3 linked regions of the Oryctolagus cuniculus genome follow. The protein of the gene in region 2 interacts with the protein of the main gene of each other region in a biochemical or structural test. Links are inferred from orthologs where the notes say so. Each region holds a gene or a part of one and is shown on either strand. Other genes may lie near its edges. The genes, in order: PTPN6, ERBB4 and ABL2.

Region 1 (3,649 bases), on a different chromosome or scaffold from region 2:
CAGAGGACAGTTCTCGGGGATGGGCCTGAGCCTGGGAGGGCAGAGCCAGGTCCCTGAGATAGCACACGTGGGCACCTGCCCATCCGGGATCCAGCCCATCCAGCCTGCCTGGGGACACACAGTCGCTGGTGGGGAGGAGGCAGTCTAAAGACCTCATGGGCCTGGAGGCACATGGACAGAGCGGGAAGGGAAGACAAAGCCGGTTCACACTGCCCCACTCCCTGCCTGACAGTGAGTTACAAAACCACCGCCAACAGCTCCCGGAGGCCTCACCGAGGCCTCATGACAGCTCTGAGATCCTGAGTGCACAGAAGAGGACTGTGGGAGTCAGAGAAGTTAAGTTCTTTGCCCCGGATCACACAGCTGGCAGCAGGAGGCACCAGACTGAAACAGGTGGCCCGCATCCCAGACCCATCCCCACCACCCCCAATGTGCCCAGGCTGGGCTCGGTGGGCTATTATGGAACCCCCGCCTCCCCACTTCCCCTGACCTTGAACATGAGAGTGTGCAGAGGAGCTGGGGGTGCGTGTGCCCCTCCCAAAGATACCGCCATCCCCACACCTCACTGCGGGCCAAGATGGGGGGTTCTGGCTGGGGAAGGGGGGAGACAAGGAGGGGCAAAGAAGAAGCCCGAGGCTGCAGAGGGAAAAAGAGGAGGGATGGGGCCACACTGACCCCAGAGGGAAGGTGCTGGGGGCCAGTTGCAGGCCATGAGGGAAAACAGGGGCTGCCATGACCTGGGATTACGGTGAGTGCCAAGGCCAGCCCTCCCGCTGACACCTGGCAGGTTGCTGGGGCTCGGTTTCCATACAGGGGAGGGGTCCTGAGGAGACACACCCAGGCTGAGGGTGGAGTCTCAGGCGATGGGGGCCGAGGAGGCTGAGAGTTGGAGAAGGCACTGAAAGAGTTGATCTGTGGGGCCGGCGCTGTGGTGTATTGGGTAAAGCAGCCACCTGCGGCACCGGTGTCCACTGGGGCAGTGGCTGGAGTCCTGGCTGCTCCACCTCCACTCCAGTTCTCTATAAGCAGTACAAGATGGCCCAAGTCCTTGGGCCCCGGCACCCGCGTGGGACACCCAGAAGAAGCTTCTGGCTCCTGGCTGCAGATCAGCCCAACTCCAGCCATTGCAGCCACTTGGGGAGTGAACCAGCAGATGGAAGATACTTCTCTGTCTCTCCCCACCCCCTACTTTCTATAACTATGCCTTTCAAATAAATAAATCTTTTTTTTTTTTAAAGAGTTCATCTGCAAGGTGCTCAGGACAGTGCACGACAGGTGCTTAGCAACAGCCACTTCTCCACGGCTGTTTTCCTTATGACTGACGTCCTCAGACGATGCTCACCTGCAGTGCACGATGATGGGGCCTGCGTGAGGCAGACTTTCCTGTCGCTGGTTGATCTGGTCCAGGAAGCTGAGGACACCCCCGGGCTCGCTGGGCACCCCGTGGTCAGGCCAGCTCAAGTACTGGTAGTGCCAGATCTCCCGAACTAGGTTCCCCTGGATGGAAGACACAGGGTCAGAGCTCCCAACTCTCACATGACACCTCTTCCTGCCTCATCCCACCCAGCCAGACACGGCAGCAAGTCCAAGCAGGGGCTCTGGAAGTTGGGCCAGAGGCGGGGGACACTCACGTTGTCCAGCGGGGAGACTTGTAAGGTGCGCAGCTTGTACTCTGCCGTGTCGTGCTCCCTGCAGTTGCTCACGGAGTAGAGTCCATAGACACGCTGGGTGCCCAACTCAGGCCAGTAGGGGACACACTTGTTCTGGAAGGGAGGGGCGGGTAGAGGTGGGGAATGAGGCCCAGGGATTGGAGCTGGCGGTCGGTCGGGCCACCTAGGATCTGGTCTTGGCTCAGACAACACGGTGAGACCTGAGCAGCCACGTACAATTGGGAGAATAAACGTCAATGCAGGTTACAAATATAAAGGAGACCCCACCTGTGCCCTGCACCTCGGAAGCTCAAGAAGGACTGGGGAGCAGGGAAAATTAGAACAAACAGAACACACTAGAAGGGGCTAATTTCCCCCCTGGGCTCTGGAGGCAATCAGAGAGGCTTCACAGAGGAGGCAGCACTTGAGCTGGTCTTCAAAAATGAGGCAGAGGGCCTGGCACTGTGACACAGTGGGTAGAGCCACCACCCGCAGTGCCAGCATCCCTGTGGGCGCCAGTTCAAGTCTAGGCTGCTCCACTTCTGATCCAGCTCTCTGCTATGGCCTGGGAGAGCAGTAGAGGATGGCCCAAGTCCTTGGGCCCCTGCACCCGCTTGGGGTCCCAGAGGGGGTTCCTGGCTCCTGACTTTGGATCAACCCAACTCCAGCCATTACGGCCATCTGTGCAGTGAGCCAGCAGATGGAGGACCTCTCTCTCTCTGCCTCTGCCTCTCTGTAACCCTGCCTTTCAAAAAATAAATAAGTAAACCTTTTTTTTTTTTTAAAGAAAAAATAGATTTATTTATTCATTTGAAAGTCAGAGCTATACAGAGAGAGAAGGAGAGGCAGAGAGAGAGAGTCTTCCATCTGCTGGTTCACTCCTCAATTGGCCACAACGGCCAGAGCTACACTGACCCAAAGCCAGGAGCCAAGAGCTTCCTCCATGTCTCCCACGTGGGTGTAGGAGCCCAAGGACTCAGGCCATCCTCTACTGCTCTCCCAGGCCATAGCAGAGAGCCAGACTAGAAGTGGAGCAGCCAGACTCAAACCGGCCCCCACATGGGATGCCGGCACCTCAAGCGGCAGCTTTACCCACTAGGCCACAGCACCGACCCTAATGAGTAAATAAGAAAGAAAGAAAGAAAGAAAGAAAGAAAGAAAGAAAGAAAGAAAGAAAGAAAGAAAGAAAGAAAGAAAGAAAGAAAGAAAGAAAGACAAGACAGAGACAGTATGGGGAGAGAATAAAATGAGTTTGGGCAAAGCCACAGAAGCCTGAAGAGCCTGACCCACGGGAGATGGTGGGTGCCACGGGTGCCAGCCTTACACTGAAAACTCAGGTGGAGGGCAGCTGGGAGCCACTAGAGGGTTTCCAGAGAGGAAGCCATGGGGTCAAGTTTGTGTGCTTTGGGCAGGGTCACTTTGGCTGCAGGACAGGAGGTGCCATGGAAGGGCGAGCCCAGAGAGTAAGGGGTGGGCTCCAGAGCCATTTATGAGACAGAACAAGAGGGGCCTGCAGGGGGACACATGGGGAATGGGCAGCAGTAAGCTTTGCTTCCAAACACGGTAAGGGGAAGGACAGTTTAAAACATGGGGCTTGGGGCTGGCGCTGTGGCATAGCTGAGCCCCACCTGCAGTGCCGGCAGCCTATATGGGTACCAGTTCTAGTCCTGGCTGCTCTACTTCCAATACAGCTCTCTGCTATGGCCTGGGAAAGCAGTAGAAGATGGCCCAAGTCCTTGGGCCCCTGCACCTGCGTGGGCCATCTTCCACTGCTTACCCAGGCCATGGCAGAGAGCTGGATCAGAAGAGGAGCAGCCAGGACTAGAACCAGCACCCATATAGGATGCCAGCACCACAGGCGGAGGGTTAACCTACTGCGTCACAGCGTTGCCACCCCTCCTCCCAGCAGGGGTTAAACCCTCACCCCCTAAGGTCCCTTTCTGCCCTGGCATCTTCAGTTTCTTTGTTTCGGTGGTGAACAATGGGGCCTCAGCCTTACC
Region 2 (3,649 bases):
TCTTACCTAAATTCTGTCAAAAAGCTTTGATGTAAATATCCTTGCAGTTAGAACTTAAAGGCAAATATAGGAAAGAAACTAATATTAGGACCACGTCAAAGCAAAAACAAAATTAAAAGAATAGGCTTTAAAACATAATTACTGCTTCAAACTTTGATAGAGACTTAAAAACTGGTTGGCCATTCTTACTTCCTAAGATAGAGACTGTTGGCAAAAGAAATAGGATTCTCTATCTCGGTTACTAGTGTATGTTATATTAGAAAGGGCTATCCTTTTGTTCTGATGGAAACTTTATTATGATTTCAGAGGTGTTGATTATGCATACATCAGTTCCTACAGATAGGAACAGATAGTACAGGTGTTTCAACCCTCTACATTAAAAGAAAGAAAAAAAGAGCTGAGAATTAGTTTGGCAGCAGGCAGTACTGCCTCACATGTTCGGGTCCTTTTCTAGCTGTTCCATTCTGCTACCAACCCATGCAGAGAAATGAAGAAACAGTGAAGTTCCACCTATCTTCCTCTTTCAGCCCTTCCTTCTAATGTTCACGTTACATAAGCGCATAACTATCATTGCATCTCTATGTCTTCCACGGGGAAGTGTCAGAACTACTGGCCTTAGGGATAGGAGGAAGGACACCAGAGCAAGAGAGGGGGTGTGGAAACTGGAGTGGGCTTGTCTCTCCACTTCAAAACTACACAGCTGAGCTTATACCACAGTATTCCGGTGTCTGTAGGGTGGAGGAGGCAGCACAGTGCCTGGCTTCAGTGAGAACTCAGAGAGGTATTCAGGATTCTCTGCCACAATGGGCCGGATCCGTCCATTCTGTTTATAAAAATATTTTGTGCTGTACTCCTGCAGGTAGTCTGGGTGCTGAAGGGTGCTCCGAGGCGGCAGGCTGTGGTTCCAGTAGTCAGGGTTGTCAAATGCTTTCTTGGCCTTCTCTGGCACAGACAGTACGTTGTTCTTCAGGTACTCCGCATTCCCCAAGGCATTGGCAAATGTGTTGAGGTACAATGGCTCATTCACGTACTCATCCTCTGCCTTGGGTGGACCACTAGAAGCCTTGTGATACTCAGGATTATCCAAAGCTTGAAGTTCTCCATTTTTTCTTCGAGAAACAAAAGGATTCTCTTCCACAGGATTCAGGTATTCTGAAGGGACACAAAAATAACAGTTAACATATATTCTCTGGAAAGCGTTTGTCAGATGAAGGTTATAAACAAAGGTCAACTTGTTTGTTGAGAACAAGAAAGTGGCACACTTGTTTCTCACAGCTATTTGTGGATTACTAAAAATGTTTACGTGGACCAGAAATAACAAAGTTAATAACAAAGCAAGGCAACAACAAGGTGAGGATCAGAATTCCTATCTCCCAGACTGTTTTTCTTTTCTTCTTAATTGTCTTTCCTACATATGGGACCAGTTATTTTAATGCTTCTTTTTTCTAGAAGTCAGTAATTTATATTAGAAAATAAGATTACCTATCAGGCTAGAAAAATGTAGAGAAGTCAGAATTCTTATAAAGCATATGGTAAAACAAAGGATTAATAGCTTAACTCTACACCACACTGAAGAAATAAAGTAAAGAAATAGTTGTTTCAGATTATATGGTTTCCTGTGAATGTCTGTACAAGTAACAAGGATCCCACTGAACTTTTATATGTAGGAAGAAGAGTATCTAAAGAAAAAAATGAATGAAAACATCTAATATTTTCTAGTTGGCTCTCTGGATTTTATATATGAAACTGCTTAATAAGAAAGTATAATTACAAAAATAATTTTCAATATTTAATCATAATGGAAAAATAGCAAACTAAGTTTGAATCATATTAAATAGCTGTTTTGTATCTTGAACCAGTCATTTAGTGCCTATTTTTGTATGGCTCAGTCTACTAAATCCATCTGGTATAATAAGTATTAGCCTAAAATACAAAAATGATGATAATTAATGCTGCTCTCCTCAAGCTTAATTGCATCTCTATGTATATAATATAGATGACATATAAACATATACACACAGATGGAGCAGATCCTTTTTTGGTCCTTGCTTTTACTGCATACACAAAACACTAAGTTATTCCTATTTTTGAGTCAGAACATGGATATGGCACAAGTCTTTGTTCAGATGCCATCATTCTGAAATAAACTTTCTAAACCCTATACTTAGCCCAACAACATGTAGAAGACAAAAATTCAATCAAGCTCTGAATATAAGCATTTTGATAAAGTTAATCATTAAGCATCATTTGTGAAAGTCGAAAGGCAATAATGAATATCCTAGATTCATATAAATATATACAAATGAATTAAAGAAAGCTCAATAATTTCTAAAACACTATTGATCCCAAATGACTATCTTGTGAAAAATGAGGTGCAACCTTTACTTTTATAGCTTTATAAATAGTAAACTTGTATTTTCTTTTGTGAATACAATCTACTCATCTATTGTCCTCATGTAAACTTATGTAACCATCTGGTTATATATGGAGAAAAAACATTATGGTTGAATGACAATCTTTCCAGAGAGGAGTCTGCTTTCAAGACAATCTGCCAAATCTTCAGAAAACCTACATATGTGTCACCAAGATACAGTTCATCATTAAATTAAAACTTTTCTATATCTTGACAGATTATTTGAATTTATAATATGTATTTAGGGAATCTCTAAATTATATTTGATAAGTGAACATAACCACATAGAAAAGGACCCATACTGAGCCATAAAATAGATGTTGAAGCTGCCACTGAAGACTCTGACAGACATGATCATTGCTTTCTTTTTTTAAAACATTTAGTTATTTTATTTTAAAGTCAGAGTTACACAGAGAGAGAAGGAGAGGCAGAGAGAAAGAGGTCTTCCATACACTGGTTCACTCCCCAGATGGCTGCAATAGCTGGAGCTGTGCCAACCCGAAGCCAGGAGCCGGGAGATTCTTCTGTATCTCCCATGCAGGTTCAGGAGCCCAAGGACTTGGACCATCTCTACTACTTTTCCAGGCTATGGCAAAAAGCTGAATAGAAAGTGAAGCAGCCAGGTCTTGAACCTGTGCCCATATGGGTTGCCGGCACTGCAGGTGACAGCTTTACCCATGATGCCACAGCGCCGGCCCCATGGTCATTGTTTTCTAATAACAATCATCTGTTCATCTGTCCTATCCATTTCATGATGCCATTAACATGGAAGAAAGCACCTTGTGGCACTCCAAAAATTTTTTGAATCATTTGATGTGGATGTTTAACAATTCTACTCTAACTTTACAAAGTCATTGTTGTGTCTTGAAAAACCACAACCTGTTATTTTCAAGACTTGGAGGTATACATATAGGTATATAAATGTCACATCTTTAATTTTTGAAATGTGTCTTACAAGAAATCATAATTTCCCATAATAAACTATATTATTCAAGTGGCACTATTTAAATGGATCAACCAAATCTTTTATTGGTGTTATCAAAAGCTTCAGACAAGGGCCAGTGCTGTGGCATAGTGGGTAAAGCCACAGCCTGCTGTGCCAGCAGCCCATATGGTTTCCAGTTGCACCACTTCAGATCCAGCTCCCTGCTAATGTGCCTGGGAAAGCAGTGGAAGATGGTCCAAGTGCTTGGGCCCCTGCATCCACATGGGAGACCCAGAAGAAAGTCCTGGCTC
Region 3 (3,649 bases), on a different chromosome or scaffold from region 2:
TCCCGCTAATGGGCGTGCTGGGAGGCATAGTCGATGGCCCAAGTACTGTGTGTGTCACCACATGGGAGGAGCTGCTGGAGTTCCCAGGTCCTGGCTTCAGCCTTGCCCAGTGGGCATTTTGGGGGCAGAGGAGGGTGAGCCAACAGAGGGAAGATCTCCCTGTCTATATATCTCTGTCTTTCTGCCTTTGATGTAGAAGTTAATTAATTATTTATGGTCGTCTTAGCCCCTTATGGAGTTAATACAAGTAAATCCACTTCTGCCCAAACAGGCGAATACTCAAAGGCATACGAATTTCCAGAGAACAGCGTAGTGAAGCAGAGACTCCCTTCTCAGTTTTCTTTATTTCTTCCTCTCTCCCCCCGTCCTTCTCCTCTCCTCTGTTTTTCCTTTTCTTTTCAAGAAAGGCTGGGAGCCAGAGATCTTCCATCCATTGGTTCACTCCTCAGATGTCTGCAACCGCTGGGGCTGAGTCAGGAATCTGCCTCCCAGGGTACATCTTAGCAGGAAACTGGAATCAAGAGCAGAGCTGGGACTTGCACCCAGGCTCTCCAGTGTGGAATGCAGACACCCCAAGAGGTGTCTCCACCACAGGTCAGGTGCCTGCCCTGAGCCAACGTCCTGAATTTTGCTGTATTAATTGCAGAAAATGAGGTGCTAAGAAGGGGAAAGATTTCACCAAGCTGGTGAGCAAACAACAGAACTATGAAATGGATTGTTCTGCGTACGCGCTAGTAAGACGAGCTCTGTTCTCCAATGCCAGGCGTGTGCACCCTGGAGCCGCCCTTTTACATTGTGACCGAGTACATGCCGTACGGGAACTTGCTCGATTACCTCCGGGAGTGCAGCCGTGAGGAGGTGACGGCCGTGGTGCTGCTCTACATGGCCACGCAGATCTCTTCTGCCATGGAGTATTTAGAGAAGAAGAATTTCATCCATCGGTACGTACAGCCTGCGTGCTGCCCGTGATGAGGAGATGAAGGAGCAGAGACCCTTCCGGAAGTTCTCAGATGAATCCAGGCAGTAATTACGTCTTTGAGGAGGCCCGTGATGTCCTTTCCAACCTGCAGTCCCACTGCTCTCTGATCAAAGTGCCGTGCTGAGCCTTTGTCAAAACAAAGGGTTTCTATTGCTCAGCACCAAGGCCCTTTTGCTCCCTCTAGTGGCTGAATTGTAAGGTAGCTTTCTGTTTCGATGAAGGACCTAAAACCTTAAAGAAAAGCAGCTGTCGCTCACCTCTGACACCTGTCCCAGCTTCTTGTCACCTGGAACCCATTTCACAAAGTCCCTTTACTTCAGAACCTGCTTAACTGCCTGTCACTGAGTACTCTGAGATGTGTAGTCAGTGACTTTGTGCCATGTTAGTGATTGTCAGCACTTAGCAGCTCTTGTAGCACAAGAGAATAAAGCGTTTGTGACCACTTTGCTCACCATTTGAATGGAATCACATCAGGGTTCTCTATCCCACAGAGATCTTGCAGCTCGGAACTGCCTAGTGGGAGAAAACCACGTGGTAAAAGTGGCTGACTTTGGCTTGAGTAGACTGATGACTGGAGACACCTATACTGCTCATGCCGGAGCCAAGTTCCCTATCAAGTGGACAGCACCAGAGAGTCTTGCCTACAACACCTTCTCAATTAAGTCTGACGTGTGGGGTAAGCTTGCAACACCCACTTTCCTGCTTGTGCCGCTTTTCTTCATTATAAATGCTCTCGATCCCTTAGAGTCTTTTTTATGTGATACTCAGAATTCTCCGCCTGATCTCCCCCTTCTTGCATCCCTCCTGTCTGCCAAGCACTGTGTGAGGAACTTAGTGCAGGAAGAAGCATAAAGAAAAGGTTTACAGGGGAAGTCCCTGCCTTCAGAGAGGTCACAGCCATCCAGGTGTCCCCTGTCGTGAAGCTGTGACCCCCTCTCTCTCTGCCTTCCACCTTGGGCTTCGTCACGCTCCCGCAGCTCGGGGATACAGGGCCCCCTCTCCACCTGCATTTTTCCTTGTAGCAGAGCTGCTTTCTGGCAGCCTGAAGGGCAGCGAGACTTTGTAGGGAGGTCTGCACTGTGAGCCGACCGAAGTGGCTGTAGCATTCCGAGTCATTTTATCCAGCAGACTCTTAGAGTGTGACAACATTGAGCAAATTCTTTTTTCTGTTGTAGATTTTATGTATTTATTTATTTCAGAGGCAGAGAGAGAAAGCTCCCATGTGCTGGTTCAGCAAGGGCTAAGACAAGGTTGGGCCAAAACTGGGAGCTGGGAATTCAACCCAGGCCGCCTATGTGGTGGCGGAACCCAAGCTCTTGAGCTATCAGTGTGGCTCTCCAGTGTCTGCAGTAGCAGGAAACTGTAGTTAGGAACTAGAACTAGATACCAAACCCAGGCATTCGTGTAAGGCAGTGGGCATCTCAACCTGTGTCGTAACTACTGGGTTAAATGCCTGCCCCTTAGGAGCGTTCAGATGGATCTTTTAATTTCAGTCCTCTGATATTAGCCGACTGGAAAATTGTGAAACAAAGTAGGCATGTCAGACACAGTTCTGAGAATAGCTGGATTCTGCCCCCTCACTTCTTACATGGTTATAATTTGTTGTCCCTCATTGGAATTTTAAAGGGTATGGAAATAAAAATTGTTAGCTTGATATATTTTTAAAAGATTAATTTCTTTATTTGGAAGGCAAAGAGAGAGAGGGAGAGAGAGGGAGAGAGATCCTCTCTCTGCTGGTTCACTCCTCAGTGTCTGGGTCTGGGTCTGGACCAGGCTGAAGCCAGGGGCCTGGAGCTATCCTGGTTTCCCACAGGGGTGGCAGGAACCAAGTATTTGGGCCATCTGCTGCTGCTTTCCCAGGTGCACTTCTAGGGAGCTGGATCAGAAACGAACAGCCGGGGCTCAAAGCAGCACTGTCACAGGCGGCAGCTCCACCTGATGCACCACAACTCCGGCCCAGGAATGGGAATTTCAAAGAAAACTGTTCTGAGAATTATCTGCAGTATTCTGGGAGCAGATACCTTCTAGGACAAGTGAGACTGTAAGAACTGGGAAAAGGATATATTAGTGTTGTAATAGTGGATAAACATTACAAGTTAAGAGAGAGATTAGCTCATAACAGAAGTAGTAAATCAGAAGTAATATTACAGGGTTGGCACTGTGGTGTAGCCGGTAAAGCCCCAGCCTGTAGAGCCAGCATCCTTTGTGGACACCAGTTCAAGTCCCGGCTGCTCCACTTCCGATCCAGCTCTCTGCTATGGCCTGAGAAAGCAGTAGAAGATGGCTCAAGTCCTTGGGCCTCTGCACCCACGTGGGAGATCCGGAGGAGGCTCCTGGCTCCTGGCTCCTGGCTTCAGATCAGCCGTTCTGGCCGTAGTGGCCAACTGAGGAGTGAACCAGCTGATGGAAGATCTCCCAACTGAGGAGTGAACCAGCTGATGGAAGATCTCTCTCTCTCTCTCTCTCTCTGCCTCTCCTTTTCTCTCTTTGTAACTCTGCCTTTCAAATAAAATAAATAAATCTTTTTAAAAAAAATTGTAATTCTATAAAAAAGAAGAAGTAATACTACTTTTTTAAATCCCCTTTGCAGCTTTTGGGGTACTGTTATGGGAAATTGCTACATATGGAATGTCACCATATCCAGGTATTGACCTGTCCCAGGTCTATGAT

Evidence for each region.
Region 1: the proteins of ERBB4 (region 2) and PTPN6 form a complex in vitro, tested with the Homo sapiens proteins (2 studies listed by BioGRID, with this or other methods). The link is inferred for Oryctolagus cuniculus from reciprocal best matches to the Homo sapiens genes ERBB4 and PTPN6.
Region 3: the proteins of ERBB4 (region 2) and ABL2 form a complex in vitro, tested with the Homo sapiens proteins (2 studies listed by BioGRID and IntAct, with this or other methods). The link is inferred for Oryctolagus cuniculus from reciprocal best matches to the Homo sapiens genes ERBB4 and ABL2.

What each region holds. Positions count from the first base shown.
Region 1 is NC_091440.1:102,583,744-102,587,392, forward strand, and holds part of PTPN6 (tyrosine-protein phosphatase non-receptor type 6), read right to left. Parts: coding exon 3,649-3,649; intron 1,764-3,648; coding exon 1,632-1,763; intron 1,498-1,631; coding exon 1,343-1,497; intron 1-1,342. UniProt on the Homo sapiens protein: Tyrosine phosphatase enzyme that plays important roles in controlling immune signaling pathways and fundamental physiological processes such as hematopoiesis.
Region 2 is NC_091434.1:28,236,366-28,240,014, reverse strand, and holds part of ERBB4 (receptor tyrosine-protein kinase erbB-4), read right to left. Parts: intron 1,153-3,649; coding exon 707-1,152; 3' UTR 1-706. UniProt on the Homo sapiens protein: Tyrosine-protein kinase that plays an essential role as cell surface receptor for neuregulins and EGF family members and regulates development of the heart, the central nervous system and the mammary gland, gene transcription, cell proliferation, differentiation, migration and apoptosis.
Region 3 is NC_091438.1:7,315,510-7,319,158, reverse strand, and holds part of ABL2 (tyrosine-protein kinase ABL2), read left to right. Parts: intron 1-763; coding exon 764-941; intron 942-1,470; coding exon 1,471-1,655; intron 1,656-3,569; coding exon 3,570-3,649. UniProt on the Homo sapiens protein: Non-receptor tyrosine-protein kinase that plays an ABL1-overlapping role in key processes linked to cell growth and survival such as cytoskeleton remodeling in response to extracellular stimuli, cell motility and adhesion and receptor endocytosis.